Linked DNA regions of Drosophila melanogaster. Changing the gene in region 2 together with the main gene of any one other region gives a genetic interaction. Each region holds a gene or a part of one and is shown on either strand. Other genes may lie near its edges. The genes, in order: ey, brk and shn.

Evidence for each region.
Region 1: of brk (region 2) and ey, changing one suppresses a phenotype caused by changing the other (phenotypic suppression), as found in Drosophila melanogaster (one study listed by BioGRID).
Region 3: of brk (region 2) and shn, changing one suppresses a phenotype caused by changing the other (phenotypic suppression), as found in Drosophila melanogaster (3 studies listed by BioGRID).

Annotation. Positions count from the first base shown.
Region 1 is NC_004353.4:698,892-709,261, forward strand, and holds the start of ey (eyeless), read left to right. Parts: upstream 1-5,759; 5' UTR 5,760-6,273; coding exon 6,274-6,382; intron 6,383-8,537; exon of another isoform or gene 8,538-8,600; coding exon 8,601-8,780; intron 8,781-10,370. UniProt on the Drosophila melanogaster protein: Involved in eye morphogenesis.
Region 2 is NC_004354.4:7,303,161-7,313,530, forward strand, and holds brk (brinker), read left to right. Parts: upstream 1-4,778; 5' UTR 4,779-5,312; coding exon 5,313-7,427; 3' UTR 7,428-7,972; downstream 7,973-10,370.
Region 3 is NT_033778.4:11,167,620-11,177,989, reverse strand, and holds the start of shn (schnurri), read right to left. Parts: upstream 4,188-10,370; 5' UTR 3,216-4,187; coding exon 3,185-3,215; intron 1-3,184.

The DNA.
Region 1 (10,370 bases), on a different chromosome or scaffold from region 2:
TGTCTCTGGAATCTGCAAGTCAACTCTATAGCTTTATTAGTTCCTGAGATCGCGGCGTTCATATGGTTAGACGGACGAACAGACGAACATGTTCATATTGACTCGGCTATTGATACTGATCAATAATATATATACTTTATATGGTCGGAAACGCTCTCTTCTATTTGCTACATAATCTTCAAAGCATAAAATAATAATAATGGGTGTAATAATGGTTTTTTATTTTGGCAAGCCAATTTATAGTGAATTATTAAAAATTATAAACTGCAGTCAATAAAGTAACATTGCTTGTTATTTAAGAAATCGCAGGCCTTATGACTAGTCAAGAATTTAATATATTTAAAGGTCTCAACCCCAGGATTCAGGAACTTCTCCCAGTGAACCCCACTAGTTTGGTACTAAAGGCATTACCGTAAGACGCTTATATCGACTCCTCTTTGTTATTTCCAGTTTGGGCAGATCGAACACTTTGATCTTCCTTGTTGGGCCTCACAGCGGGAAAAAAAAAGTTGCTTTGCATGGGTTTAGGGAACTTTACAACTGTTCGATCACGATCTTTGCAGTGCAACCCCTAGGAGCCAAGTCGGGAAGCGGGTTAGCCGGTCTGCTATCGATTCTCGTGTGAACACATGCAATTATGGTTTTATTTGTATTATTCGTAGTTTGCATTTACAAGTTTTTGTTTGTTTTCAAAATAGAACCTTAAGTTTGAAATTTTCATGATCATGAGAAGCTATTGTTCGTGAAAGCCCAACAGCGTGGCAACCCTAATTGTTTTGTAAAAAGAAATATAAAACATTTAAAGGCATGTGAATGTTGGAAGAAACCACTATTCATTTTGATACCGAATAAGTACATTTTATATAGTTCAAATAAATATAAAACAACGTCCTGTATCAAACCAAAATTCACAAAAAGTTTTAATTTTATGATCCCCAAAAATGTATATTTGGGAATGTCTTCTTATGAAACCCCATCAGCCACAATTGTCTAAACTTGTACTTCAGTTGAGCTCCTAGTGGGAGTTCAAAGCAGAAATTTCCATATTTCTTTTTGTCAAATCGATAGAAAGCAGCTAGACAATAAGGAAATACGTTTTAATATTTTTAAAAAGTGTACGTATGCATGCTTTGTCTCAAATTTCTGGCCTTGATAGTTAGTTACTGAAATCTCAAAGTTTACACGGCTGGACTGACATAAGTACGGATAGGCGGACGTGGCCTAGTAGACTCGTTTTGTGATCGTGAAATATGTGAATAAAAAGAAAAAATCGCTTTTTTTTATCTATTGCGAACTTAAAGAATATAGTCTAGCTGGGCACTCTACGGGTAAGGGGCTTACATTTATCGCTGTTAAGGACGCAGTTATTTCAAGTTTTATAATTGTGCTATATTTACGCTCGGGATGGATGAGAAGCACTTGATATGGCTGAGCAAGGCCACTGGGCACTAGCAAAAACTTCCAACCACTTTACTTTGTTAAATTTGATTTTAATCCGCTGATAATATTTTAAGACTTTCTCTTTCGCTCGGTTGAATTTAATGCGATTTAATCACACCGTATACAAAGAGTGTACATCAATTTTCGTTCCAGGAGGAAAAAGGTGGCGTGCTAAAAAATAACTTAAATCGTAAAGGCGATATCGTAACCAATTTAAATGTTTAACCTTTTATGAAATACTTTAAGAAATATCAAAAATTAAACTTTACGAGTAACGGGTATAAAGCAAAAGGAACACACTCCACATTGCGTATTGTATAGATATTCTGATTATACGCATTAGATTGGTTGAACTGTCTGCAACAGGAAGAAGGAAGGGCGCTTGCACTATATAGCGTTATAGCGTGCTACTATATTCTGGTCGGACGGACATCATCCTTCCGTACGAAGATCGAAATCTCGGGAACAATAAAAGGTATGAGGTGGGATTGTTTATGCATATTCCAGAGGCGGACACAGCGGACATTTGATTCTTGATGTCGCTACGCTCACAAACAACCCAAGTTTTTTTTTATTACTTTATTTCTATTGGCATACCAAAAACATACCAAAACTGTCACGCCCACACGTTGCAATTTTTAAACATTTTTTATTTTATATTTTTTTTATGAAAATCGCATTGAATTTATTATTAGTTACTCCGACAGAACACTGTGCCTCTATCTTGAAGGGGAATAATATGAAATCACGGCTCCAATGTTTCAAGCTCAGCATGGTTTCCTTAATTACGAATGAGCTTTGTACACAGTACCACCTGTAGGGTATTGTCACTCGAAGTACTTTTCGTCCAGTTAAGTGATAGTCGGAAACTTCAGGCAATGGGTGTGCGTGGTCGGTGGTCGGGCGCGAAAGGCGCGGACACGGAATGTTCATAATAATTGAAGCATATTTACAGTGGCTGCCTCTTTCAGAAAGGGCGTATGTGAACCCCCCGTGAGCGTGAAGCACCCACACCAAAAGCTTGCCTTCTAGGGATTCCCCTTGGGCCCTTTCCAAAAGCCTTTTCCATGTTTGTATTTGGTTGGTTGGCCAAATGCTTCGCTGGTCATCTCCAGGCCGGGTATGGTTCGGTTTTCAGTGAGCCGTGTCTGGGGCTGCCTTAATTGTTTAATGGCTCGTTATTTGAATTCCCAGCGGGGGACCTTTTATACGTTCGTGCTAGCTAGTAATTTCAAGTGATAATTGTAGCGTTTTATTACGGATTAAGCAAATTTCGTGAAAAATATATCTATATTTCATGGTCAATGTCACATTGAAGATCAGCAGTAAATCATTTAGTAACTGCTTAAATTACATGGTCGACCCTATAGTCTATACATATTCAGGGTTACGATCACGAGCCAAAAGTCCCTGCTCTCAAATGAATGCATTTTTTCAAGTCGAAAACCAAATAAAAATCTTTCATTTATATTTTTTAAAACTTACAAATTAAATAACATATTACGTAGATTCTTTAACTCTTTTTTTTTTTTGTAAAAGGATAGCTTGACTTGACTTTTTATACCTAGGGTGTTTTGACCTTCCTTGTTCAAATTAAAACTCTTCTCAAGAAACTGAGTCTTGTGACAGATTGTGGACTAACTTGCGGAGGTCCTTATTGAATTTTCTACGAACTTTGGCGATATAACAGCTAGACGCCCCTTTTCTCGTTCCCCACCCCTAAATACCATTGCGTGGCCGTGTGAAGTCTTGCGGACAGACGATAAGAAGAACGACGCTTTTTTATGTCAGCACAAAAGCAACTGTTGCCGCACACACACTGGCTGTATGTAATAGCCATCTGGATTGGGTATTTTTCATCATCTTAAATCTAAATTGGTGGTGGTGGAAGAAATGGGAGAGGTGGTATGTCGTTTCTTTGGTGAGTGGGAAGCTATTAGCCTTCTTTCTTCTTAATTGTATAAGCTAAATACTAAAGCTCGTTATGGGCCGCGTTTTCATTAAAACATTACGCGTTAAGCCGAAAAAAGCTTGTTTGGCCAAAAACGTCAGTTTTAAGCAAGAGTCTATACTATAGCTGAGTTCCTCGACTCTTAGGTTCCCGTTACTAGATATGCAAAAGGAAAGGCGGCAGTTATATTGTTAACAGGGCCACTTAATACATTTCATATCAGATATTTTCGTTGACGGTGGTAACAGATAGATAAGATTTTGTACTCAAATGAGCGAATTGAGAATTAAGTAAATACATACATATGCTTTTATATAACTATTGTAGCTAATCTTTTCGCCCACCCAGCCATCTGTCCGATTCTACTCATATGCTATGTTTGTTATCGCGGTACTCACAAAACAGTCAGAAAGAACTCTATAGTGCCTATATCTTAATATACCCTTGGAGACATTTTGCCCGCAAATGTATTATTGATACCCGCCTACCCAGACTTCCATCCCGTTAACAGCATATATATGTAAGTACATGTATTCCAGATCTCGATCACTTACTGAATCGACGACCTAGCCAATCTCCAAACGAAGAGTTTTTTATTGGCGATTCTTGCTATTATTAATATATGGGTGTCGAAACCCTCGGAGGCGGTCTGCATCTGAAGCAGACTAAGCCGAAACGGAACAACTTTTTGCTCCACGAGCATGTGCCGTGTCGTTGGCACGTGCCACGTGGCGATTGCTTGGGCTGCGTTCCATCCTCAGCACCAGTGCGAAGATAATATGATGATAGCAGGGCTGATTCAGCTTCCTGCGGGGGACATACTTTCATGTGCTACCATGTAGCCTAATAAAAACATTTGTTTCCTCCACCTTTAGGCGTTTTATGATGTAATCTGTGCATATTAAATCTTGAATATTATAAAGGGATATGGCAATCGGATCAAATGAAAATGATTCAGTCTTACCTGTAATAATAAAAATTACATGTGCGAAAGTAAGTTCAAACATTTTATAGTCAATGAAACGCCCAGTAAGTTAAGTATTTAGAACAGTTGCGCGCCTAACATTCTCACATATATTCAGATATCGATCGTGCGTGCATTTTATTCATAAAAATGTCAACGGGCTTGGTTAAATTGTTTAGTGATTGCTAATGTTTTTAAAATATGTCAAATATTTCAACCCCAATTCTTTCAGATTTGCTACAAATTTCGACAGAACAAAATTAAATATTATAAATACAATGTAGAACTATTGCAAGGGTACATTAAAAACATTCTGGAAGTGACTTAGAAGTAATATGCATTATTATTACATTTCACTTTTCAGAAGTCATAAGGACGTTATAAACCGTGTGAGAAGAACTCTTCGCATTGGAGAGCCCAATTGTATTGGAAACAGAAAAATTGGCCGGATATTGCTGTTGAATTTTGTGAATTGCACTTAAATCGACATTATCCCATACAGTCGTGTAGGTGCGCTATAGTTTTTTAATATTTCTCTAGAGGATTTTGAAACATGGCCTTTTAGCCATAACACTGGCCGTCCCTTTCAGGCTATTGGCAACTCGTTCTCTCGCTGTGCGGCGCAAAAGCAGGACAGGAACTTCCTCTTTGGGGCCCACCCAGCCTCCACATGTGACGACAGCTTATGGGATGGTGGCTGGTGGGTGTGACCGTGCTTAGGCTTGTCGACATTTTACTAAACAACCGTACGCCCACACCCAGCTCCCCTCGATATGGCTGTGTGTGTAGGCTCGCACTGCCGAAGCGGAAACGTGCGGGTAGTTAACGGAAATGTGAAGCGCTTATTGTATCGGAATGAAACAATTCCATTGGACGAGTGTGCTGCTGGCAACTTGTCTGGCCAGCTTGAATTCAAATGGAATGCAACATGTGTGTAATTGCTGGGGGGGGGGGGGGTGTGGCACTGGGCGACTTCTCGAAAGGCGGTGAAAGCGGCAGGCGCTGCACCGTTTACACACAGTTTCTTGCTGGAAGGAACAACATCCAGTTCCAGACCAGCACTTTCATGTCTGTTCAGGACCAAACCATTCCATTATGTGCTGCTGGTCCGTCTAGAGTTGGTTCTTCCTTTATTTTCAGATTCCGTTGCCACGATATGCTTAACGACACAACGCAGCTGCAGAACTGCACCGTGCCGAATCGCTTTCATCTTCCGCCAACTAACCTTACACGGGTGCGAGAGGGACAACTGGTGTGCTTCAACAACCAATCATGGGGCTAGCCTATAGCAAATGGTGGTGAGTGGACCAGCCATGCTGGTCTTTGCCAATCGCACGCGGTTCCGTGGCAACAAACCCAGCCTTTTGCGCAGGGGGGTGCTGGCCAGCCGAGGGTCGGCCTAGTCTGTTTCTGAAACGGATCCGGGTAGGCAGGTCGTGACATTATTATTTCGTGTTGCGCTTCTAAGGTAAATACTGTTCCGCCGCCGTGTCGCGAAGTTTAAGAAAGGTTGTTCGATTCACCGTGCGTATTAATCTTTATATCAAATGAAATTACCGGCTAAGTTAGCAATCGGTAGACCCGGGAATAATACGTGTTACGTGCAGTACAAATATGATGCTAACATGAGTGCAATCAAAAGTGGCGTTCGAAAAATGAACAAGTGAACTAAAACAAAAGCGGCTGCTCAGTTATATTTGTGTTTCCGAATTCGTAACTCTTAGGTCCTCACGGCGCGATCAACAATAGGTTTTTTGATCACTGCAGGACGTCATTCTCACCATCTGCGCAAATTTACTCTTAACTCTTGCTTGACTCGCCCTGCAAGAGTTCGCACGGCGTGCGTTTGGCTGAACACAGCAGTCTCTTGGCTAAAGCTTTCATGAGCAGTGCATGTAATAAAAACTGAGATCCAACTATGTTTACATTGCAACCAACTCCAACTGCTATAGGCACCGTGGTTCCCCCATGGTCAGCGGGAACATTGATAGAGCGCCTGCCGTCTTTAGAAGACATGGCTCACAAGGGTAAGTGAATTTTTTAAATTTCTTGATTGGCATCATCGTCTTTATCCGACCCTCTTATAAATATATATGAGTCTTAGCCAACACATATGTTAATGCTGCCCATGGGCAGTTGATCCGGTCCTACTAGGCGAGTGCAGTTTCGTTCGGCTGTTGGTCTCTTTTGGCGCAGTTTACCAATAGATAAAAAGCTTCTGAACTGAATCGTTTGCGAACTCTTCTCTCAAACTCAAACTCCCGAGAGTAAGACGGCTTTATACTCCGTATAAATTGTCCAAATCAAAGATATTCAAATCTTCGCCGTGACTCTTATAATTCGAAAAACCTATATTTGTATTATACCCGTAGCTTGTTGCTAATTTGTATTTAAAGTAGTTAGTGGAAGGAAGAGTTCCCGGCTAGTCGATTTTCCGATGACCGTTGGCATGTCTGTCCGTCAGTATTGACGTCGAGACCTTTGGAAGCGAAATAAGTAGGAATTATGCAAATTCCAGTAATGCATACGCAGCTTAATTTTATATTAAACCATTGTCACTCACTCACATTGTAAATTACAACGCAAAGGCGTTTAATGATCAATGGCGTTCCTACGGGCGTATCTCATGCTATCCCGCGCGTATATGATTATTGAGTACTTCATACTAGCTGACTCTTTCGTTTTATACAAATTTGTATACTCGTTACTCATAGATTAAAGGGTTATTAGATTTTTTAAATTTAAAGTATATATATTCTTGATCATGGTCAATCGGTCAATCTAGCCATGTCCGTCTAGCCATGTCCGTCTGCATGGACGTCGAGTTCTTAGGAACTATAAGAGCCAAAAGATTGCAATTTCTCGTTCACACATGCAGCCCAATTACGGGTATTTGATAGTCAATAAACCGGACTATAGCTCTCTTTCTCCTGTTTTAGCTCATAACGCTAACTGAAAAAGATTAAGCGCCTCCTTCTAAAAGCCCCATAAACGGCCCAAGTAGTCTATGGTATATATTCGTTCATACTGGGAACTTTTTAAACTAGTTCTTTTAAGTAATAGCTTAGGTCAAAAGTGATATTCTAGTTGAATTCTTTAACCATTTGGTTGTATACCTAGCTATGATTTATCCGTTTGTATTCTTCACGACTACCTTCTGCACGCAAGTTGCGAAGTCTTTTCCTGCAAGGTTTAAAACTATGCGGCTTACTGCTGAAATCGAAATTAGTTTGATTACTTTTAATACATTTTTTTGCACTTTTATCTCGCAATAAAATGATAACCCAAATACATAGCTTATGTTTTTGGGTTTCAGTTTAATTAAAACAATTAGGTAATCCTGATTTTTCAATTCGTTGCAGGTATAATATATTACAAAAAATAATTCGAATCGAACTATGACCTGAAATTTTATATTGCCAAAAAAAGTAGAGTATACCGAATTTAATTAATACATATAACTGATATATGTAAGAAAATATGTAACTAACAATGTAATGAAATAATTCTAATTCCTATGCAATCTGGCTCAACTTCTTAACTGAAATAAGAGAAAATGTTATAGTAGAGTTTCTCGATCAAACACAGGTCTAATTTAAAATTTGCAGTATTTTAGTTCCCGAATTCAGAGTGTTTAATAATGCATGTTCTTTAGAGACTAGGACAAAAAATCTGCAGAGTGTTCGGCAACTTTTGCAGTAGATTTCAGATTATAGATAGATTACAAAGAGAATAAATAAAACAAAAGAGAATGCTTTAGTCGAGTTCCGACTATCAGATACCCTTCACTTCGCTAGTGGGAATGCAAACGGAATGCAAATATATATGCGGGAATAAAATGAGAAAATATTTAAAAATGGTTTGAAAGTGTGGGTGTGGCAGTTTAGGGCGGTTTTAGTGCGTTTGAGTGGGTATTCTGTATTCTGTATGCCTCTGTATGAGATCTGGACGTTCATACGGACGGACATGGCCAGAATGACTTAGCTTTGATCCTGATCAAAAATATATATACTTTATGTGGTCGAAACGCTTCCTTCTACCTGTTACACACTTTTGAACGAATCTAGTATACCCTTTTACTCTACAAGTACTAGTACTTAAAATATGTTACATTTTTATAAACACTTAAGCAAGTTCAAAGTTGGTTCAAATTTAAAGATCTATTCCACTATTATTATAAATGAATTCCAAGTACAAACTGACTTCTTGATACGAATTTTACTCCTTTGATTTTCTTTTTTATAGACAATGTGATTGCAATGAGAAATTTACCCTGTTTGGGTACCGCTGGTGGTAGCGGACTAGGCGGTATTGCTGGGAAACCTTCCCCTACTATGGAAGCCGTGGAAGCCAGCACAGCGTCACATCCCCATTCGACATCTTCATACTTCGCCACAACTTACTACCATTTAACCGATGATGAATGTACGTTTTAATAAATAACGCATAGCTAAACCCCTCCCGCTTTCACTCGATTTCAGATAGCCCCGATTATAATACTATTATATCACATTCACCAATAGATTAAAATTTATACACACAGACCGTCTTTACATAAACTAAATATGAATACACCATTAATAGATTTTATTGAGTCTAACCGATCCATAAGCTTTGCAAATTTAGTGTGTAATCGCAGTTTCTTGCACTAAATACCAGTTAGGATAGATAACAGATATGTATTTTGATTCTGCCCTATGTTGGGGGCTACTATAAACTTCAAATCGACTTTGGTGTTCTGTTTCTAAAAACATTACCGAGAGTAGTTTGGCGTTCAGAAAATGTCCAAGGACATTTTTGTATTCATAGTTCACTTTATTTATTTCTAACATCTATTAATACACCGCAAGTATTATAAATTAAGAGCTTGTTATTCGTTATATTATCAAAAGCTTTTTAATAACAACAGAAATGGTTTTACCGTACGACGAACCTTAGTTTATAGATATACAATTCACTTTTAGAGAAAAAGTGTGTAACACGAAGAAGGTGGATTTTCCGAACCAATAAAGTATTTACATTCTTGATCAGAATGTTCGTCCGTATACGCGATTAGATATCGGAAACTAAAAAACCTAAATGTTTTATCCAGTTATATTAAGACTTAAAGAACAGCTCTTTTACTGATATAGGATGAGGTGAATAATTATAGTATTTCCAATTTATTATAATTTTCCACTGCAAAATCACTAGGTATACCTATTTCATAGCTCGACCCGAGAAGATTAAGGAAACATTTCAAAATACTTGTATGAAGACATCGCGCTAATTTTTTTGTATTGCTAAACATGTGTCACGAAGATTTGTTATTGGTGTGAAAACAGCTCAATGTCTGGGTAAGCCCAAAGCATACAGCTGAATGGAATGGCATTGTTCAGTAGCTGACTCCAAATCTCGCACATGCTGCCAATTATAGTGGCACAATGGGTAGAGGTGATCATCGGTGACAATTGGGATCGGCATAGACTTTCAAGACGGTGATGAGTCAAACAATAATTTACGAATTGCGGAGTAGATTATAGGCATTCCTCAAATCCCTTTTCTAAACGTAACCTCATCCCGGGCCCGTCGAGCTGTTAAGTACTCTCTGTCAGGTCACCCTATTGTAGTGCCCGTGAATCAATACAATAATTTTCCAGCTTTAATGATCTTGAAGTGTGTGTTCGTTGTCGACGACCGTTTCGTGTAAAGTCGCTACAAATGGAAACAATTAATGGCTCTGAAAGCCGAAGTCGAGTAAATACAAACACACACAATGCACTCAAAAATGCCAAATGAGCCTCTTTAGCGGCTGCCGGGAACCGACGCATATTGGCATTGTATCCGTGGTCTTTGTAGACTCACCCCGCTGTTCTGTCCATTTTCGCATGCGAGGAAAATCAGTCCCTGCCCCTGAATGGATGGACCAGTCCCCTAGAGGGTCCATCTCCAGTTCCCGTTTCCAGGGCTTTGTCTTTCTTCCCATCGGATTTGTGCAGCAATTACATTATTAATCCCACTGGCAAGATGTTTTTG
Region 2 (10,370 bases):
GGCGTACCAAGTTGAAACGATCGTGCAGCGAACGATCCTTAATGTTACCATTGGAAGTCGTTAAGATTGGGCAAACACCAGTACTTCGAAAAAGGGAAGATAAACATTCGAGGAGATGAACTGAAAATGGATATTTCACACATTCTCAGTGGCACAGCAAATAATTAACCGGAAAATCGGAAAATGCAAGCGTCATTCGAAGGAAAAGCATAAGAGTGTGCAATATTCAGTCATCAGCACATGATCTTCGTGATTTTCACAGCCCAGGAGACTTTAAAAAGGAGACCAAACTACATCGTTTGTGCGCCGACTGAGAAGCTTACTAATCTCATTAGTGAAAATAATATATTTCACACTCAAAAGCTTTAGTTACTAGCCGTAAAACATTGCGATAAAGAGCTATTAAAAGCCTAGATGGCAGCTAGACTTTCCAATAGACGTAATCATCATAGCATTTCAAAACATTGTACAAAAAATGATTAGTTTTAGCTTTTTTATCAAGCTAATCAGTTATTTTTAAAAATGTTTACTCTTTTTACATTCCAGCATTTTGATATAAATTTATCAGAATGCTCAAGAGACGTGTTCCAAGTCAAGATGGCTTGCTAAGAGTGCAAGAGTGGAACCTGCACTTTGCAACAACTATTCGTACGTACATACTATATCATTTAGGCCTTCAACTGATATAATTTAGCACTTGTACAATGTTTTCCTGGATCTAGTTTTTGTTCGCCGCCCGAAACGTGATCGACCCACGTGGGATCGGTGGGGGCACTGGCGAATAGGGTTTATTCGAGGGGTGACGTACCCCCAAAGCCCCATAAAGATACCGAAGTGGTCAGTGGCGAAGAGATTGCAGCAGGGGCCCCCAACCGATAACCCGGGGGCACTACGTGTTCGGATAGATAGTGCCGACATGAGTGTGCGGCCGTACATATATACATACATACATATACACATAAATAAATACCCCGTGTATTCACGATTCCGATTGTGGATGCCACTACATACATATATATATAGTGCACTTTGTAATTGCTCGAGCCCCATTGCGTCGAAAATTGTTTACAGAATCGACTTTTATTGGCCGACAAATAGAACTTGGCACTTGGATCGCCTTTGTTTGATCTTATCACCTGATAAGACTCATATGTACCTATATTTTTTGTTCTCTTTCCGTTTAGTCATAGGCTAAATGAGTATGCCTGCCTTCATAGTTGAGGAATTTACAGTTTGTTTTTTTTCTTATTTTAATTCGGTGCAGATGCATAAGAAGGTGCACAAGGTGTGGGTATAAACCACAAGAGATGTCATACGATTTCTTGGGAAGATAGAAGACTGTCCAAAAATAATAGTTAAGAGCACAAACTTTGAACTTTCGATCGTATCCTGAACACATTCAAAGGACAATATCCAGAATTTCTTTCCTTCCGACTATATCCTGAACATAGATTACAAGATGATCTTTTTAATGCTAGGATACGCAAAGCGTCATATCTTTCAAGAGTTTAGATTGGTATAGTTTTCGGTATCCTGGCATTTGTGCTTCATCTTCTTGGGGCTCCATCTTGCGATTCTTCAGTCTTCAAGCGCTCGTTCTCCTCTCCTTGCCACATCTCTCTCCTTGTTTCATTTTTAGTCTGTTTGTTTGTGTGGGCTTATTCAAACGCAGACAGCGCGGCGGCAGCGTCGATGAAAAAAAGCAACCTAAGGTTCTTCTACTCCTACCACTCGTCTTCCGTCTCCGCCACCGCCGTCTTCACCTCCATCTCCTGCCCATTCTCGACGAGATTGGAGATCATAAGTGCCCCAGCACGTCGTTCTCCTTCTTTTCCTTTTTCGTCGGCTGCCGCGCCCTTTCCCTTTCCCAATTTTTTTATACTTCTTTTTTTTTTCTTCAACTTTTTAATCAATTCATGGGTATGGGTGGATGTGTGTATAGGTTTCTTCGATTTTTACGTTACCTTTTTATATTCAATTTTTATCTCTTTGCCTTCGTCTTTTCCGCTTCTTTTTTTTTGTTTTGTTTTTGATAAATCGATTTAGAAGCCGACGGGGTCTAAATAAAAAAAAAAGTGGAATTCTTTTGATTTTTCTGTGCCAGTGTGTGTGTTGCTTTTGAACTTTTTGTCGTTTGAATTTTTCGGGCCGAGTGTGTGTGCGTTTTTTCGGCATATTTTTGGGTTGTTTGTGGCCGCTTTACTTGGAAATGCAATTCCAAAATGTATTTCTCTCGCCTTTTTTAAAGGGTTTTATCTTTGGCGTCTTACAGATTTTTTCAAAATTTCTATTAATTTTTAATATTAATATTGTATGATATTTGTTAGTAATATCTATTGTTTTTAAATCTTTTTAGTTGTTGAATTTTAAGTAATTTTTCAATTTATTACTTTGGAACTTAACTTTTTTTTTAGTTTAGTTTAGTTTTTAGGTTTAAGTTCGTTACCGATTTTAGAGCTCCTTTTAAGCCCTTTTTTGTCAGTGCATCGAAGTTTATTTCTCGCTGTTCTTCCCGCTTGTTGTATTTCTTTTTTTTCTTGTGCAGGCGCTTCGCAGGCTCCATCTTGTCTTGCCGTCCCTTTCCAGCTTCCTTGATCTTTCCAGACAGTCCGTCGTCGGCTTTTGATTCGTGGGCACAGTGGGACGGTGGCGGGGGCGGCGGTTTGGGATTGGGTACAGTGGGGCGGGGGCAGCAGAGACGTGGGAATCTGAACCCCAGATATCTATGTATAGTTGTTGCTTTTTTTCTTTTGCTGGTTTTTGTTATTTTTTTTGTAAGAGGTACATAGGTGACTCAAAGATCGCTAGTCCTTTCCCTTTCCCACTTCATCTTACCATACCGCACGCGCAAATTGATGCTCAACAACAACACCATATATTTGATTTGTTTTATGTCATTTTTTCTATTTTTATTTTCATAAATTTGCATACACACGCAAGCGAAGCAGCCCACTGTCTCCGACAAAAAAAAATCACGCACACACAGAACCACACACGCATGCAAATAGCGAAAGAGAGCGAGGTGTCTGCGGCAGTGTGTGTGTGTGTTTCATTCATGAATCCAGATTTTGCCGAGGCAGGAGAACAGAAGAAGCAGAGTAAGCTGGTAACGAAGCAGAGGCAGCATTTCGGTTTGTCATTTGCAACAAGTGCGGAGAGGTTCTCTTGTACACATATTGTTGCTGCACTTATTGCATGCCCTTTTAGTTCTTTTTCGTTGCATTGTTTTATTTTTTCAATTTTTCTAAGCTTAGACAGAACGGCGGCAACGTCGACAGAAATAAGCTAAAGCTATATGGTATATATGCACCCACGGCCATAACAACGAGTAAAAAAAAAACCAAGATAGTTGGAAACCTCTGTGTTCGTCTGGCTCTATGTGTGTGTAAAAATATAAAAAATGCAGCAATGCATTCAACAGTTGATTCAAGAGAGAGCAAAAGGAAGAGAGAGAGCGGGCGGTTTGGTTGGCGAGAGAGCGGCGCTCAACAAGTTCGTTCGACGATCTGTTGCGCGGTTTCTACGGATGTGTGTGTGTATGCTGACGGGGGACGTGGGCACAGGGGTGTGGGTCAAAAGGGGTGGGGGGCTCTGGCCGATGTGGAAGGGGTATGGGGGAGGGCGGCGTGTGGAGTGGCAGTGCCAGAATGTCTGGCAGCCACGACTCTGGCGCACACACGCACACCATTCAAAGGTGCCTTTTGCACACGTGTGTGTGCGTGTGTGTATCTGTATGAGCAACTGGCAGAGCCAGCGAATTTGTAGCGCAGCCAGAAACAACAACACAACGCAACACGGCAACAGCAACCGCAGCCGCTAACAAACTGTGCTGCGACACAGTGGCACAAAAAGCTGCCAGCAAAGGGTTAAGTGTGGGCCTACTAATACATGTAAAAAACTAATTTTTGTAAACAGAATTTAAAAATGGTTTCCAAGTAGTGCGAACATTTGTCGACTTTGGGTTTATGTTTAAAACAATAATCTGTTGTTGGCAGATAGCTAACAATGTTTTAGAGATAGAAGAATTTGAAACGCGTTTCACTTATTGACTCGATGGCCTATAAATTGATAAAGGGTTTTTTAATTATTAAAGAAGAAGAAAATGTGTTATATTATCTCGCTGTTAAAAATGTTATCTTTTGATTTGTTCTATTCCATGTTTTTAGGTATCATATAATATTTTTTTTATTTTTTATATAAAAAAAAGCCATACGAATTGGTCCCACTGTGCGGTTCGCGGTGTTTGTCAGTTAGTCAGTCAGTCGGGTGACTGTGGCAATCGAAAAGAGTGGACAAAGACTGTGGCGCACAGGGACGGGGGAATGGGTTGCTCCGTCCCATGTTGTCCATTCGGTCCCACCGTGCACACAACTCAGCACAGCACGGCACAGCAGCAACAAAAGCGCCGCAAAAGGGAACTGGTATTATGGCATCCCGCTCGCACTTGCACTCCAAGCACGCACACATGCAAGCGCAGACACCTCGCGACACGATTGTCGTCAGTTTGTCTGCAATGCTCAGCTTCAGCGCCATGCGCTCTCTCTCTGTTGCTCGCTCTCTAGCTCCCCCTCTCACTCTCTCTCCCACTGCTGCACGCACACGAACACCCACACGAACAGCAGCAACAACAACAGCAGCGCACAGCAGACAGGCAGGCACTTTACGCCTGTGTGCGTGAGCATTTCAGAGTGAACCGCAGTCGACGGCGGCGCCGGCAGCGACGCCGGCCGAGGCGAGGCAGTCTAGAACGTATCTTCGAACTAGAACGCCGAGGGCAGAACAATTGTGTTTTGGATTCCTTGCCGTGCGGATCGCAAACGCGAGTTATGAGAAGAGCGTAGTAAAACGTACGAGAAGTAGCTAACAAGAAAAGGAAAAGAGCAGAAGAAGCAACAGCACGCAGACATATATTTTTTTTAACTGTGTTTTATTTATCCGATCTATACCAATCGAAATATACACAACTATATAGATTTGAAACGGATTTTGAAAAGTGCTTTCAAATAAACTCCAAAAAGTATCAGAGCGAGTGTGTGCCAGTGTGTGTATGTGAGACGCGTCGCAGTCGACGTCGCTGCTTTGGGGACAGAGCTGCCAGATCGCGAGTTATGAAAGCGCAAGCGTCGCACGCAAGTAGCAACAACAGCTACAACAAAAGCACCTAAAACTTACTACCTACTACTACTGCAAAACACACTTGTTTGACTATTATTTCGCTACATTAAAATCAACAAAAATACACACAAAACTGACCAGAATCTTGGGAAAATAAAAACAATCTTTAAAGAACGCCACGAAAATAAACCATAATCATGGATAGCAGCAGCGAACAGTTGAACGGATCGGGAGCTTTGAATTTCAAGCGGCCCAAGGATTCTTCGGAGAATGCCACAAACAGCCACACAAATAATGGCAATTCTTCGGGCAGCCCCAAAATGGGAAGTCGTCGGATTTTCACGCCCCACTTTAAGCTGCAAGTCCTCGAATCATACAGGAATGATAATGATTGCAAGGGCAATCAACGGGCCACGGCCAGGAAATACAACATTCACCGCCGGCAAATCCAAAAATGGTTGCAATGCGAGTCAAATTTGCGATCATCGGTGGCCAACAATCAGCAACAGCAGCAGCAGCAGCAACAGCAACAGCAGCAACAACAGCAGCAGCAGCAACTACTCCCACAGCAATCGGTATCGCCGACACCGGCGGTCAAGGTGTTCCATCAGCTGAGCCATCCGCTGGTGCACCAGTTGCATCACCATCACGCCGCCGCGGTGGGTCATCATCATCATCATGCCGCCCACCATCATGCCGCCCATCATCATCACGCTGCAGCAGCAGCGGCGGCAGCAGCAGCGGCAGCAGCAGCAGCAGCAGCCCACCATCATGCCGCCCACCATTTGCTGGCAGCCAATGGCATGGTTCCACACCCCCTGGCCGCCCATCCCCACTTGCATGTCCCGGTGGCAATGCATCCTCAAATGCAGCATCAGAAGGAGCAACAGCAGCAGCAGCAGCAGTTGCAGCAGGAGCAGCAGCAACAGGATCAGCAGCAGTCACAGCAGGAGACACCTGCAACCATTGCTACCAATGGCAGCAATCAGGGATCCTCGAATGTCCTTTCGGCGGCCAAAATAGCCGCTGTTGTTGCCGCCGCCATGGCCACCAGCAATGGCAATCCCACACCGACAGCAACAATCCCCGCCAGCAGCAGCAGCAGCAGCAACACATTGCCGAGCAGCAATAACAGTAGTTGCCACAACAGCAGCAGCAGCAGCAATAGCTGCAACAGCAACCAAGTGCCAATACAAGTGCCAATCCTGAGCGGATCCCCTGGGTCCACATCGTCAGCCAGTCACATTCCACATGTGCCCTTTGCCTACCATCACAATCTGCATGGCTATTTGGAGAATCGACTGGAGGCGGTTGCCACACCAGCCCCCATGGACCTCTCTCTCGGATCCTCTGCCCGCCGTCAAATGCAGTTGCACGAAAAGGATCCATCTGGTGTGGATCTCACTTTCCGCAAACGTAAGGTCATCACTAGTCCGATGCAGCCGGATAAGATTAGTAAGCTGGAGGAGGTGATCAAGAAGGAGCCCGAAACGGAAACGGAGAACGAGGATGTGGAGGTGGACGTGGAGACGGAGCAGCCGGAGGAGCACAAGCTGCCCTCTAAACAGGTCAAGCTATTTAAGCCCTATTTGCTGGACGATGATGAGGAGCAGGATCATCATCATCATCACCATCACCATCGGCAGGAGGATTTGGATGAGGGAGCTGCCGAGGAGGAGCAGGACGACGAGGAAGAGTCCCGCTATGCCGACGATGATGAGGTGGACTCCAAGGAGGCGGCCGACAAGAAACAGCGTCGCCTCAAGAAAAAGCCATCGGCAATCAACGAACAAAGGGAACCCATCATCTGGAGCAACCATCCGTATCCCGGTGGCTGTGTATCGCCCGGCAGTTCGATCACCAGCAGCTTTCAGTGCCCCACCAGTATGCAACAGCAGCAGACATTTCCCGTCGCCGGCGGGAGTCCTAATCAGCAATTTCAGGACAACTGCAGCTCCAGCAAAGCCACCACGCCCCTCAGCCCATTCTCGGCGCCCGCCCTCTCGCCCACCGGCTTCTGTTGCCCCAAAGGATCGCCCGTTTCCGGTTACGAGAGCAGCTCATCCACCTACAGCGACAGCGGCAGCAACTACAGCCTCAATCTCCAGCTGCATGCCGTCTACAACGACAATCTGATGTACATGCAACAGCAGCAGCAGCAGCAGCAACAGCAGCATCACCTGCAACATCAGCAGCACCTGCAGCGCTGGCTGGATCAGGAGTCCTTGGCCACTGCGAGGACATCATCCGTCAACCGACCACTGATTCTCGTGGCGGATACTGCGCCCACAAACCTGACCCTGGTGGCCTAAGAACACACACACACACACACACACACACACACACAACAAACAACACACACAATAGAAACTAAGGAAGCAGCAATCCCACCAATCGGATGTTATAATGGCAGTCACTGGGCCTGGCCTTTTAGTTCCCTAAGCCATATTTAAGCTTAATAACGTTTTTTTTAGCCCTACCACCTAAGTTTACCTTAATAAAAAATTGTATATCTAAGCGCAAACATATATCTTCCAAGCATATCAGCAAAAAAAACCCCAAACCCTAGGTATAAACCCTTCTTTTTTTTTTGGTTACACACTAAGAACAAATTAAGCTTAAGTTCAGATTTTTCTTTTTTTTTTTCTTGTATTAGCTTGTGTAAATAATTGTGTACAAAAAGTGAAACAAGGCGAAACAATTGAATTTGCTTAAGAATTTCAACGCTTCATTTCATTTGTATAACTTGTGGGAGAGTATTTTAAGAGAGAAAATGTGAAAAATGCAACTGGAAAAACTGAGAAAATTGTTAAGAGTAAAGCTTTAAAAACGAAACAAATACACACCTTTACAATACACACTTTTTTTATTTGGAAATTGAAAATTGAAAATTCTTGTGATATGACAACAACAAAACAAAATTTTAATAAAATTGTTGAAAACTGAAGCTTATTGAATATACAGCTATATTATACATAAATATATATTTACAAACACAAAAGAGAGCAAGAAATTTAACGTAATATTAAGGGTTACATTTAAAAGTTAATTATAATGATATACAATATACATATATACAATATATTTATATACAAACAAGAGGAGAACGTTTTTTTTTTTTTTTCATTGCCAAGGGAAATATTAAATGCGCCTATACATAGAGAAAGAGATATATATATCTAAATGTATGTATATATATAAAATCAGTATTTTTATATATTACATTTGACAACAACAATAATAATAATAATAATTGTGTGACCATACAACAAACAAACAACAAAATCAAAAGGAAAACGAATTGATTAAATTAACAACAGAAAACTAAAAAAACTTTAAATTAAACTGGTTTTATCATTGCATTTGCGTTGGGTTTCGAATGAAGTCATTGCTTTTCAGATGACTGCAAATATTTCAGGGATCTATCTATAAGATCTTTTTTGGTTTCTGGGTTCAAAAAAAAAAAAAATCAATATCAATACACCCCCGCCGCATCAATTGGGATAATCTAGATTCGAGAAAAATCGACCTGCCTTTAGCTCCGCAATTCTTCTTAGCTGTCAGTGTGAGGTTAAGGCCCCATTTATAGAACCGATCGCCGTTTGATCTTTGCGATCATACCGAATGTGCCATTCAAATGTGTGTGCGTTATTTGCGTGCCTCATTGTGACAACTCATGGGTTGTCAGTCAGTCAGTCAGTCAGTCACTCAAGTCAGGGCATAGCTTAAGGCTTTGGGGCTTTCCATTTCGAGTGCCTGTGCCACGCCCCCTGCCCCCCCCCCCCCCCATCCCCTACGCACAGACTAGACCACCCACCGCCCTCCGCGAGCTACTCGGTTTCTGGTCAAATTCGCTTGGCACATTTCAACGGCGGGGTATGACTAAGCCGCAAATTCTATAATGATCGTATTTTTAAAACGTTTAAAAATAAAGTGCTCTCGTTTGCCAATGTGTGCGCCAATCACGAGCCCCGAGCCGCAGCATTCAGCACCACTGCGATCCACAGCCACATCCACATCAGCATTAGCATCAGCATCAGCATCAGCACCACCGCAACTGCCACAGACGGCAGCTATCGTATCGTATCGTATCGGATCGGATCGGATTGGATCGGTTTGGGGGATCGGTTCTTGAGACAGAGCGGCATACTCATTGTTTTTCACTTGACGCGCTTTCCCTTCTGCAGAGCAAAAGGCAAATCCGAGCGATCGCTGCCAAAGAATTTTTGCGACATTTGCGGACAAAATAGACCCCACGGGATACCCACTAGTCATGCACAAGGCGAAAAATATTCCACTACTTTATGAAAAGTAATATTCATAGACACTAGCTGCCATTAAATGAACAAGGTATACTCTCTTGTATACCATAATGTTCTTATCACTTAGCCAACATTTGTTGCATCGCATTTTTTTTTCTCTGTGTACAAAAGGGTGGAGACTGTGCTGGCAGATCGGAACTGTTGGCATCTATGCGATTTGATCGTTCAGGTGATCGTTCCCACGTAGTCAAGTCCAACTAGGGACGTAGTTAAGTGGAAGGGATGAGGAACAAAAGAAATAGGAACGGGGAATCAATTCGGGAGGAGTGGACAACAGCTAGATCAACACAAAAGTCAAAAGAACACAACGAAATGGAACACTAAATCAGATTAGGAAGTACCAACAGTACCAAAGTTTACTTAGTCTATAACAGTACAGTTATATAATCTTTAATCTATGAAAGATAAGAGGTGTTCAAGAAGTTGAAACTAGAAACTATGGAGAAGAATCAATGGAAAAGATCAGAAACGCAAGGATGAGAACCAATAACCACAAATAGGACCACCAAACAAACTATGGTAAGGTACGACGAAAATGGCTAAGATCAGGGGCCAGAATCCCCAAGAGGAGCGTACATATGTACGTATGTATGTATGTCGAGGTGGGGTCCATTGGTACCGGGAAACTGTGGGAGGAGCGACCGCAGATGATTGCTAAATTTCAATTTATTTTCGTGCTATTTTCTTCGAACCGCGTTGCCCCGTGTAAACTTTTGCTCGCTTTTCTTTTACCATCCAAAAATATGTGGTTTTTGTTGCTGCCTTTAATGCCACGTGACAAATTTCGATCGTTCGGACGTAACAAAAAAAAAAAAAATATATATATATATATATATTTTGATTTGCAGCCAGCCAAGTTTTACAAAGTAAATAGGGGAAGAAGACACTGGCACATAGCAAAGCAGCAGAATTCACCTGAGTCCCGAGACTCGA
Region 3 (10,370 bases), on a different chromosome or scaffold from region 2:
CTACAGGTATGGGGTTTTATTTTTGCTCAAACTCATAGGTAAAGTTGGGCCCTGGATTTCAGTTCACGTTTATTTATTTCCCTTTTTATTTTCGCTGCTTTCCTTGTTTTCCTTCCCGTTTTTTTGTAATTTTTTGGTTCTTTTTGTTGCCCTCCCCGCTGCCATGACCTTTTTAGTGGTCGAGAGGGGGCGGTGACAGAAGAGAGAATTTTCTGGGCGTGGCCTAAAAGGCGTCCCAGGAAAAGTTGAAGTGTAGTGTTTGTTTACGGCTATGATATGGCCCAAAAAAGAAGGGGCTAACCAATTTGGCAGATTGGGTAAACTGTGACTCAGGAAATTGTATTCGTTTAGGGATTGTTGCCTGATTTTTGTAAATTGTATTGGATTAAGCCAGGTTAGTAAATAACTATACCATAAAAGCTATAATGTTAAGTTCATGAATCATTTAATAATTAATAAGGATAATAATCTTTAAACACAAAGGAATCAATCTATTGAAACGATTTCAATTTGAAGCCAAATAGAGCTTTCCCTTCTAACCCAACCAGTTAATCCCGAGCTACAAACGGAATCAGAGCAATCATCAAATGGATATGGGCTTCGTTTAGGCCACACCTAGACCTACATAGGCAGTTACTAGCTAGCACTTGAGAGGACTCCAAACACGAAGCCCACGCCCTGCATCACTTCCTTCCTGGCTGCCATAATGAAAAGCAACCCCTCTTGAATGGCAAAAACTACGCAAACTAAAGGCTTTTCTTTTTCATTCGAAAAGGAAAATGGAATGCGAACGGGCCAAGCAAAGTTGCCAAAGGGAAACAGAAACAAAGGTAGCGATGGAATGAAAATACTCTCAAATAAAAGTGCGGGGAAATGCCAGCCGCAGGGAGTGGGTGGGATTTCCTCACCCAACTCCATTTCCATTTCCATTTCCATTCCCTGGTCTCTAGTCCCCCGCCATAAATTATCCGCACAATGGCCCAGAGCCAAGGCAAAAGGCAATGCGAGTACGGTTCCGAGAACCCTGAGCAAAGTCTATTTTAATTTTGACGTCGTTAGACGAAGGCGAAAAGAGATTACGGCCAACTCGCTGGCAACGCAAAGGCAAAGTCAAAGACAAAGACAAAGCCAAAGCCAGCTTAAGTGTTTCGGCCCAGCTACCCAACCTCAAAGATCAAACTCAAACTCAAAACCCAAACCCATACCCATTCCTATTCCCATTCCCCCAACCATACTCAAACCCATACCCAAAGTCGTCTGCATACCAAAACCAAAACCCATCGGCAGCTGGAAGTCAAGTTGGAGCCAAACTCTTTGAGCATGTTGCGCCTGCTACAGTGGGTACTCCATGGAAGGACGACTTTCATGTTAAAGGTTTGATGATTTTGAAATATATTTAAGAAGTATTTCAAATAATCTCTCTCCAAGTTGCCAAGTATTTTCAATTGGTCATGGTTTACAAAACAAAATGGTTGAGTTAAAGTCTCAACAACATTGTTTAAAAAGTTAAGTTGTTATTATTGTTATTAAAACAATAATATTTCGAATATAAATATTTATAACATTTCAGCATAATTGGTTTAAAATGCTATAAAATAGTTTTAATATATTTATTTAAGAATGTTATATTTAATTACTGGTTTATTGTTTCAAAAGGCGAAATAAAACGCTCACGTTGTGACATATTAATTAAATCAAGTTCAATAAAAAAAAAGTGATTGATCGGATTGAATATATTCAATTACTGGTTGCCTAGTCGGTTTGGTTTTGAAATGAAAAGTAAATTCATTTAAAGCATTTAGCTGCAGCTGATGGAATGCGCACTGTATCCGCCCAGCGAGCAGTACTTGGCATATATCAAAAGCCAGGCAGCACACTTGTATCTCATTTGGCAAAAGTATCTGCGGATGTCGCGGGTTGGGGCGGGCACAAGAAAGTATCTGGCTTTTTAATAGGTTCAAATTGTGGCATGAGTAACGCAGCGCACAGAGCAACTTGACTAACAGGCGGCGTGACGTGACGCAAAGTATCTCGGCTATAGCGATTGTGGATGTGCAAGTCGAGTATCTGTGACTGTGCGCCTTTTGTATCTGTATCTTTGTATCTGCGTATCTGTGAGCTAGGCTGCCTGTTGAGCGGGTGAGCTGCGCCAAAAGTTCATGACGCTGGCTGAGCTTGATTTTCAGACCATTTTACATGGGGCAATTCCGATTGCGACTGGCTGGCAAACAAGCTGCCTTGTTTGCGTCTGTTTTTACGTTTTTTTTTTCTTCTGTTTTTCAGCTTCTCTGCTTTTCACCCGCTTTCTGTTTTCCTTTATTTCAGCTCTCTGTTTTTCCCCCTTTCTTTTGCCCATTTCGTTTGTGTTTTTGTTTTGTTTGCCGCTGCCCTGTGAGTGTGCGTTTGTTTGTGTGCCTGTTTGTTTGTTTGCCTTTTGTGTGCGCTGGGGGATTACGTAAGGGAATCCCCAACATTTTGCAGCGCGCGCGCCAACGCAACTGAATTAAAATGATAAGGGGACTGTGGGTGGTTGGGCGTGGGCGCAATGCAATGAAAAGTGACTACTGACGCTGTTGTTTCATGTTTTATGCATGCCCTCCCTCTCTTTGCTCTCGCCCCGTCCCTCTCTCTCTCTCTCTCTCTTGCGAGTGGAGCACTCATGGCACACAAATAATAATGCAAAAAAATATATATCTTATAGATACAGCCAGAGGTTTCGAGTGGGGGCGTGGCTGAATACTACATACATTCTTAATTACATATTTTTCCCTTTGAGCCGCCAAGAAAAAATCACTGCACTTGACGAGATTCTTTGAAGCTCTGAAGCAAGGACTTACTGTCTTGCCATATGGCAGCTGTGAAACTCGTCGTCCTTGAGCTGAAGCCCAATTTTTTTAAGACCGCTGGAGTTCTTTTAATAATCAACAAACTACTTGGAGTGAATTTGTTATCAAGAACAAAGCAGTCAAAGTTCGATCTTATAATAGAACCACTAAATATAAAGATTCCAAAGAAAAGTCAGCATAGAAATTGTGGATATTGGGTCCCTTTTCCTTGTAAACACTTTATGGAAACGTTTGCAAAATAGCTTAAAATCCTTGAGAAGAGGCAATTTCCCGGAATTTCGCTGGCATATTTTCGAACTCACGCTTGATTTGAATAATTAACAGGAAAATGTACTTACTGCCTCGACCGCTGCCCTTGCGTCGCGCCATTTTCCCTGCTTCAAAGTTGGTGTCCCGTTTTGGCGCTGTCCGCTGTCCGCTGTCCCGTTGTCCTTTTGCACAGAACAATACTGCTGGAAATTAGGATCCTTGCGCTTGACTGATGTATATTTAATCAGAGGCCGCCTACCCGCTGGCACGCCCACTTGCGACACTGGTTCTGGTCTGTTTGTATGGCACAACAGCAACAAAGCTTGTACGTGTGTCGACGTCCTTGACGCACACAATGACAAGCGTCCTTGTTTGTCTGAGCGTATGAGCGCGCGCGTGTGTGTGTGTTTGTGTGTGTAAGCGAGTGTATGGGTGTGTGTGTGTGTGGCCTGGTTCCCGGTTCGCTGGTATTTGCCAACTAGACAAATAGAGGAGCCATGATGTCCAAGTCCCTGGTATTATCCTGATATGCCGCTTGCCTGTCGACCTGGTGGAGATTGCAACCCGCTGGCTGGCATCGCTGCTATCCTGCCCAAGTCTCAGTATCCTTGGTTGCTGTAATTGTGCTATATAAATCCATGTAGGCGTATCCTCTGCTCGCTGTGTAAAAAAAACCTCAATTCGGAAATGTTCGGTTTGATATGCCGTTCCTTATTTTTGTTGTGGTAGGTTTTGTTTGATTTGTATTACTTTTGACAGACCCTGCGTATACGCAATATTCGCAACTAAATCGCGCGCGCCGCGAATTCTTTCAGTTTTATGTGCTGCGTGTGTGTATGTATGTACACTCCTTATCAACACTGTTTCATCCGAGGGCCTCACTTTATTTCATATATATTATATATCTCTTTCGAAATATGCGCTATATGGCTGTTGCGGAATCTATTAATAAAACGGACATGTTATTCACCATGCGTTGCGATTTGACTTGATTTGATTTCGTTGCTGGCTTTTTTGCGCATTTACCGAGAAGTGCGAGAAGCGCGCGAAAACGAGAGGCGTGCGTCGACGTCGGCGTTCACGGACAAACAGAGCCAGCGAGAATCCGTTAGGCCCCCAAAAGCCAAAGCCAAAGCCAAAAGCCCGAACGCCAAGAGCACACCCAAAGTGAGCTCTCTTTTGGCGCACAAATGAGAGAGCCAAAGAGCGACGTAAGTGGCTTTCAATTCGACCAGCCGTTTCGTTTCAATCGAAAATCGCCTTTCAACTTGTCTGTTTACCTTTTTTCTTTTCCCACTCACAGAGCAGCGAAGAGAGTTCGCTAAGAGAGTCGCCTTATCAGTATTGTGTGTGTGTGTGTGTGTCCAAAGCTTAAATGCCAATAGCAGGAGCTCCAGATGATAAGCGTTATTTACTTGGCTTACCTGCGCTGTGATAATACCTGGGTTGTCTGTTTTATCAGTTTGCTAATTTACATTTTTAAGATTATCCACACAATTGATAAAAAGGTAATACTTTTCTAAGCCTAAATGTATGCAATATCAAAAAACAACATGGTGCTTCAGTGGAAAAGCATTGATTTAGGCGATTTGATAAATTAATTATAAGGAGTTGCTAAAAATATAAACATGTCATTATAATATATTTTAATAATCATAAACTTGGTGGGACGAACACACAAACCTTATAAACTAGCTGCTGCAACTCGCAGCGAAAATAACGAAGATAAACATTTAATTCATGGTTTAAAAATTATTCTAAATTATAGATGAAGTTTGATTCTAAGATATGTACTCTGTTGAAACACATTTTAATTACTGCACATAGAATCGTATCCATTCCAATGATAGTAATGTTTCGACTTAATTTAATATTCATATGCATAAAAATAGCAAATTCGATGAATTAAATGAAGACGTTTAAATGAAGGCGTCCTATTCTTTGATACAGCCATTAATGTTTCCGATTCATTTAAGGCAGACACTTTGGGCCCAGTCGAAAGCTGTTCGAGCCGCAACGCCTCGTAACGCCTGGTGTCGAAAGGCTGAAATAATGCGGCTTCAAAGGAAATTAAGTGCTGGCGAAAATATGTACATATGTGAAGAAAAGAAGAACATATCGCAGAACATTGGCGATGGCGATGTCAAGTGGATGGGATTTTGGCTGACAGCTGTGAGAATTCCCAGCCAAAGTGACAAGTAAAAGGCGTGGCCTTGAGCCTCATTTGCCAGCCCCAAAACGCCAACGGCCGCCCTTCAATTTAAATTCATATGGGAAGATATACGATGTTTGGCCTAAACGACTTTCAATAAATGTGGTTTGTTTCTTTTAAGAATTTTCACAAATCATTGATATTTATTAGAGCCGCACGCGTGACCACCCTAATCACATCACTCATCCTTATGTTCAGAGTTAACCCCCCTGCACCCCCCCCCCCCTGTGTTATACTATGCTCCATCGTCAATGAAAACGAATATATGTACTATGTTCGAACAGCTGTTCTTTGTTTACAATTGGCGCAGGCGCCCAATTGGAAATTGTTCGTGTGCGTGTGTATGTTCGCCCGGCTAGAAGGCCTTCCAGTTCCAGTGCGAAAGCAGTTCGAAACTGGAAGCTGGAAGGAGGGGAAATTCGTGGTGCCGAACACTTTGGCGCCAAATGAAAAACGTCCGTCGGAATTTCACTTGCAGTCGGAAAATAACAGAGCGCGTGAAAGGATCACAGTGCGGATCAAACAGACCGGTCTGTTGAAAAGTCAGGGAAATCCAGTTGAAAAACGAAAGTAACAAAATTGAAGAAAAAAAAAAAATTATTTACAAGCTGCCTCATAAAAATTCCACACATCGTTTCAAAAAAGTGTGTTTGCTACATACTTCTATTCTTCTATCTAAACAGAACCATTCCAACCAAATAAGCCAGCAAAAGAAATAAAACGCAAATGTGAGTGCCATAAAAATAATGTTCAATTATCACCAAATTTAAATATCATCAATTTTAATTTCCATAAAATGAACAAAAGAAACCGCAACGGGTGTCTGAATGAAAAACTGGCGCAAAAAAAAAGAAATATTATTCATACCTTCAATTTGAGTGGAAAAGGGTTTCAGAAATATGTTGTTTTATTTGATATTAAAAGAGTTTTTTTTTCCTGGGAATCTATTTAATTTGATTGATGATTGTTCGTTTGATGTTACTAATTATTTTTACGCCTTTGTTCTCAAATATGACATTAATTTGTATATTGTAATTTTTGTATCGGAATTCTTTTAGGTTGGTAAACAAAATAATTCAGTTCAATGACGAAATTTTTTCGTAACCTTTTATCTTTGGTTACTGGGGTGAAACAAAAGGGTAAATAGCGTATAATTTGAATATAGGACGGCTTTTTATTTAATTCCACGATTTCATTGTACTGCGATTTGGTTTCAGGCTATTTTGTATTGTATGATCTTGAATTTGTGAAATGGCAAGGTATCTTTCATTATGGAAATTTGGCAAAAAGATAAAGGAAACATTTTAATATTCAGCTCTGTATTTTGCAAAAATAATTATTACGTTTTATTACGTTTACGGTGGCCCAAAAATCATTTGATTTTAATAATTATAATAGACGTTTTTGAACTTCCAGCGCTGCGAATGAACAAGCATTATTTTCCCTTATCCCATTGATTAAAAGTAGTAAAATAGGAAATTCATTGTTCGCCATGACCTTTTATGTTTCGGTAAATGGCGGTAAACTATTCTAGTTCCGTATTTCGGACCACACAAAAATGGCTGCTGTTAAATGTTCTGTATTTAATTGATCATATGCATAACGAATGGCGTTCCCGAGGAGTCTGAATGCGATGCCCCCGGCTAAGTTTGGCTTTCTTTGTGTGCGTGTGTGTGTGTGTGTGTGTGGGTGTAGTACTTGACCACGCTTTGGGCCAAATGGGAATTCGGGCGAACACAAAATATCAATCTGAAAGCGGAAATCCTACCACAATAGGAAATTGATGTCCAACCGCATCAGCCAACGCAAACCCGTCCAAAAACCCAAGCCGCACTCAACAGGATGAAACGAGCACATGGATCACACTCAATGTGGCTGCCGCTTGTGGAATGCTTAAGTTTTATTTATGTATGTCGGTTGCAAAACTTGCGGCGCCGACATTGTGGGCACATCAAAAGCAACACGCTCGGGACATAAAAGAATAAATTAAACGTAGATGAAAAATTGGTAAAAAAAAAAACCACACAATTCGGTAGTGGAAATGGTCTTCCTTTCTGCCACACACAATGGCGCCAGCCATTCCATTCCATACTGAAAATCATTGAGACACCAGCATGAGGTGACATCCCTGTTGGATGTTTTTTAATAAGTCGAGCCTTGCGGCACGCCATGTGGCATTTTAATGTTGCATAATAAAAGCAGAACTGGCCTGGAAGCTCTGTTGTCCATCCAGCGACTTCATTATCGTCAATTACCAAGGGGCATAGTCTAAATTAAATAAGTAATGCTTGCATGAGATGCTCTCACTTACGAAAAACTCTCTGGCCAAACAATGCTGCCTTTCGCCCACATAAATCCCAATTTATGTGCCTTAAATTCGGGCATTAGACTTTGGGACAGGGGTGCAATTTATGACGACAGTGGCCCGAAGTTAATTAACCAGGCCACAAGGACTTCAACTGCTGTCGGTTAGGTTCAATGATTGGTTTCCGTCAACGAATCTTTCGCAACGAACAAAGGCCATCGAAGGGATTTGTCTCATTAGTGGCCATCCCGCTGGGCAAGCCACCAAATTTCCACGACTACACGATTGACAGCAGTGAGTAATCAGTTTTAGCGCTACGAACATGGCATTGCATAAATATTGGGCCACCGACAAGTAATCAAGTAATATAAGCCTTTATAATGGAACTAAATAAATCAAATGTTAATGGTTAGGTTGAGAAATATAAACGCTCATTCATGGCTAAAAAGTTAGAGTTGAGCATTTCGCACATGTTTTAAACAGCAAGCCATTTCGAATAATTTCGTCAAGTTGAAATAATCCACAGATGAAACGAAAAAACACCTAATGCGATTGCTTTGATTTCGTGTAATCGATCCTCTTGATGAAGAGAAAACCTCCCTCTTTGCATGAAAGCAGAATTAAATGCCACAAAGACAACCGCCAATCCCAATTTAATGCTGCATTTGTGAAAATCATAAAAAAATGTAGAGCAGTGGGAATGTTCCGATATTGTTCCGGTACCAGTTAAATAAATAACTTCTCTGCCCTTCTGAGAAACACTTAGCATCTCCTACCGTTCTCGCATTATTGATACGGCTGGTTGCTTTTCAACAAGACGTTGAGTGCAAAAAGTAAACAATAAACAATTTTCGAGGTTTTCGGCAGATGTCTGTGTACATAAGAGCCAGCAGCCACCCACCAACCACTCAATTTTCCCACTAGGCATCCACAAACGGTACGAAAACATAGTCGCGCATATATCTCACGAGATTTTTTCATGGTTTTCCCCAAAGCGTGGCGCTTTTTCCTGGCATTTTTTGTTCCGTCTCTCCGTTGCTATTTTTTTTTTTTGCTTTTGAGTTTGCTTTAAGGTTGAAGGTTAATTTATAAATATGTCGAAAGATTTGGCATTGTTGGACCAGCCAATTTACCTGAGTCAGAAACCAAAAAAAATCAAAACAATACCGCCAAAAACAAATTAATGTTCCTTAATGATTCGAACTGTTAATACCTACTATTTGGCAAAAATACCTGCATTTTCGAGTTGGATGAAAATTTCACAAATAGAAAAATACTTCTTATTTAAATGGAACTGCCTTCATAAAATGTTTGAACAATATGCCATACCATAATGTCTGTAACAAAGCTTTTTCTTTAGATTTTGTTATTTGAATTTATATATCTTATTTTTCTTTTTCCCAAGTAGTTCATACAATTCCTTGAAATTGACATGCACACCGCTCCTTTCTCGCAGCTTTTAAAAAATTCAAACGCAAAAGTGGCTTGTTTTAGCACCCCATTTCAGAGCAGCAATTTTATTTATTGTGCACTTTGGGTGCTCACCTTTTGGCGAAGGGCTTCAGGTTTTGGCTTTTGAACTTTTTGTATCGCATTTATTTGTTGTTCTTGCCGTTTTCACTTAATTCAATTGTTGTTCTTCTTTTTTTTTCACCAATGAATATTTGCTGTTTTATTGGTGCGTGGCATTCATTAGCATTGAATGTCTAGCCGTCTGAAGTTTTGCCTATAAATTGTCTAATGGGGCCAGTGGGCATTGATAATTGTACTTTATGTCGAGGGGACGACTCCTGCCAAATTTGCCTTTCCTCAAATGGCAAATTCATTGCAAATAGGTGGAGTCGAAGAGAGAGAGAGAGAGAGAGAGATTGAAAGTCAAGTGTTTGCCTGCCCGCAAAAAGGACATTACCAAGTGGTCATTACTCAGCACAAATATTAAATGATAAAAACTTGACCATTTCGCCCTCGTCAATTGGCTTATTTTCCGCATCTCAGTGAATTGACTTTTCAGCTTGGCCCGTCCGTCTCTTCATTCATAGCAAGCATTTCGTTCATTCGTTTGCCAAAATCCCCCCTCGAATTAGGGCCAATGCCATTTTGCCATTTATACGGTTTCATTGCGTATACGCAGTGTGAGCGTTAAAAGTTTTTCAAGACCCAAATCACATTGAATGGCTGTCATCGTGGCATTACTCAAAACTCGACCAAACAAAAAGGTTCACTTAGGTCAGAACAGATCAAACTGCTCCGCTCCATAATTCCATTGCTGGGTTCATAGTTTGCATCACTTCATTTGAGCTGAACATTTGCTCTGCATTTTACGACCGTGTAGTTGGATACGTTTTCGGGTGGCATTAGGACCAACGTGACCTAAATGTGAAATTTTAAGCTTAAAGGACGCAAACAGGGACCGTGAAAAGTGAAAATAAGAGGGGCAGACACTCTCCTTGTCCTTTAAAAGTATCACTTTATTTTTTTGTAGGTAATAAAATGATTTGTAACTATTAAAGAACACCATGATATCCCATTACTGGTTAGCACATGTAACAGATACTTTACCTAATGCACATGGATGATGGATAGTAAATATATAGTTATATATATACAAGTTAGGAGTATTAATCATAAAATTTTCAGTAACGAAAGCGCCTGTTCCTTTCGTTAGTTTCATAAGATTGTATTCAAAAAGTTTCTTTTGTGTTGCGCAAAGTTTTCCCGATTCAAACTAACTTTTCTTTTGAAACAATAGGCCATCAAT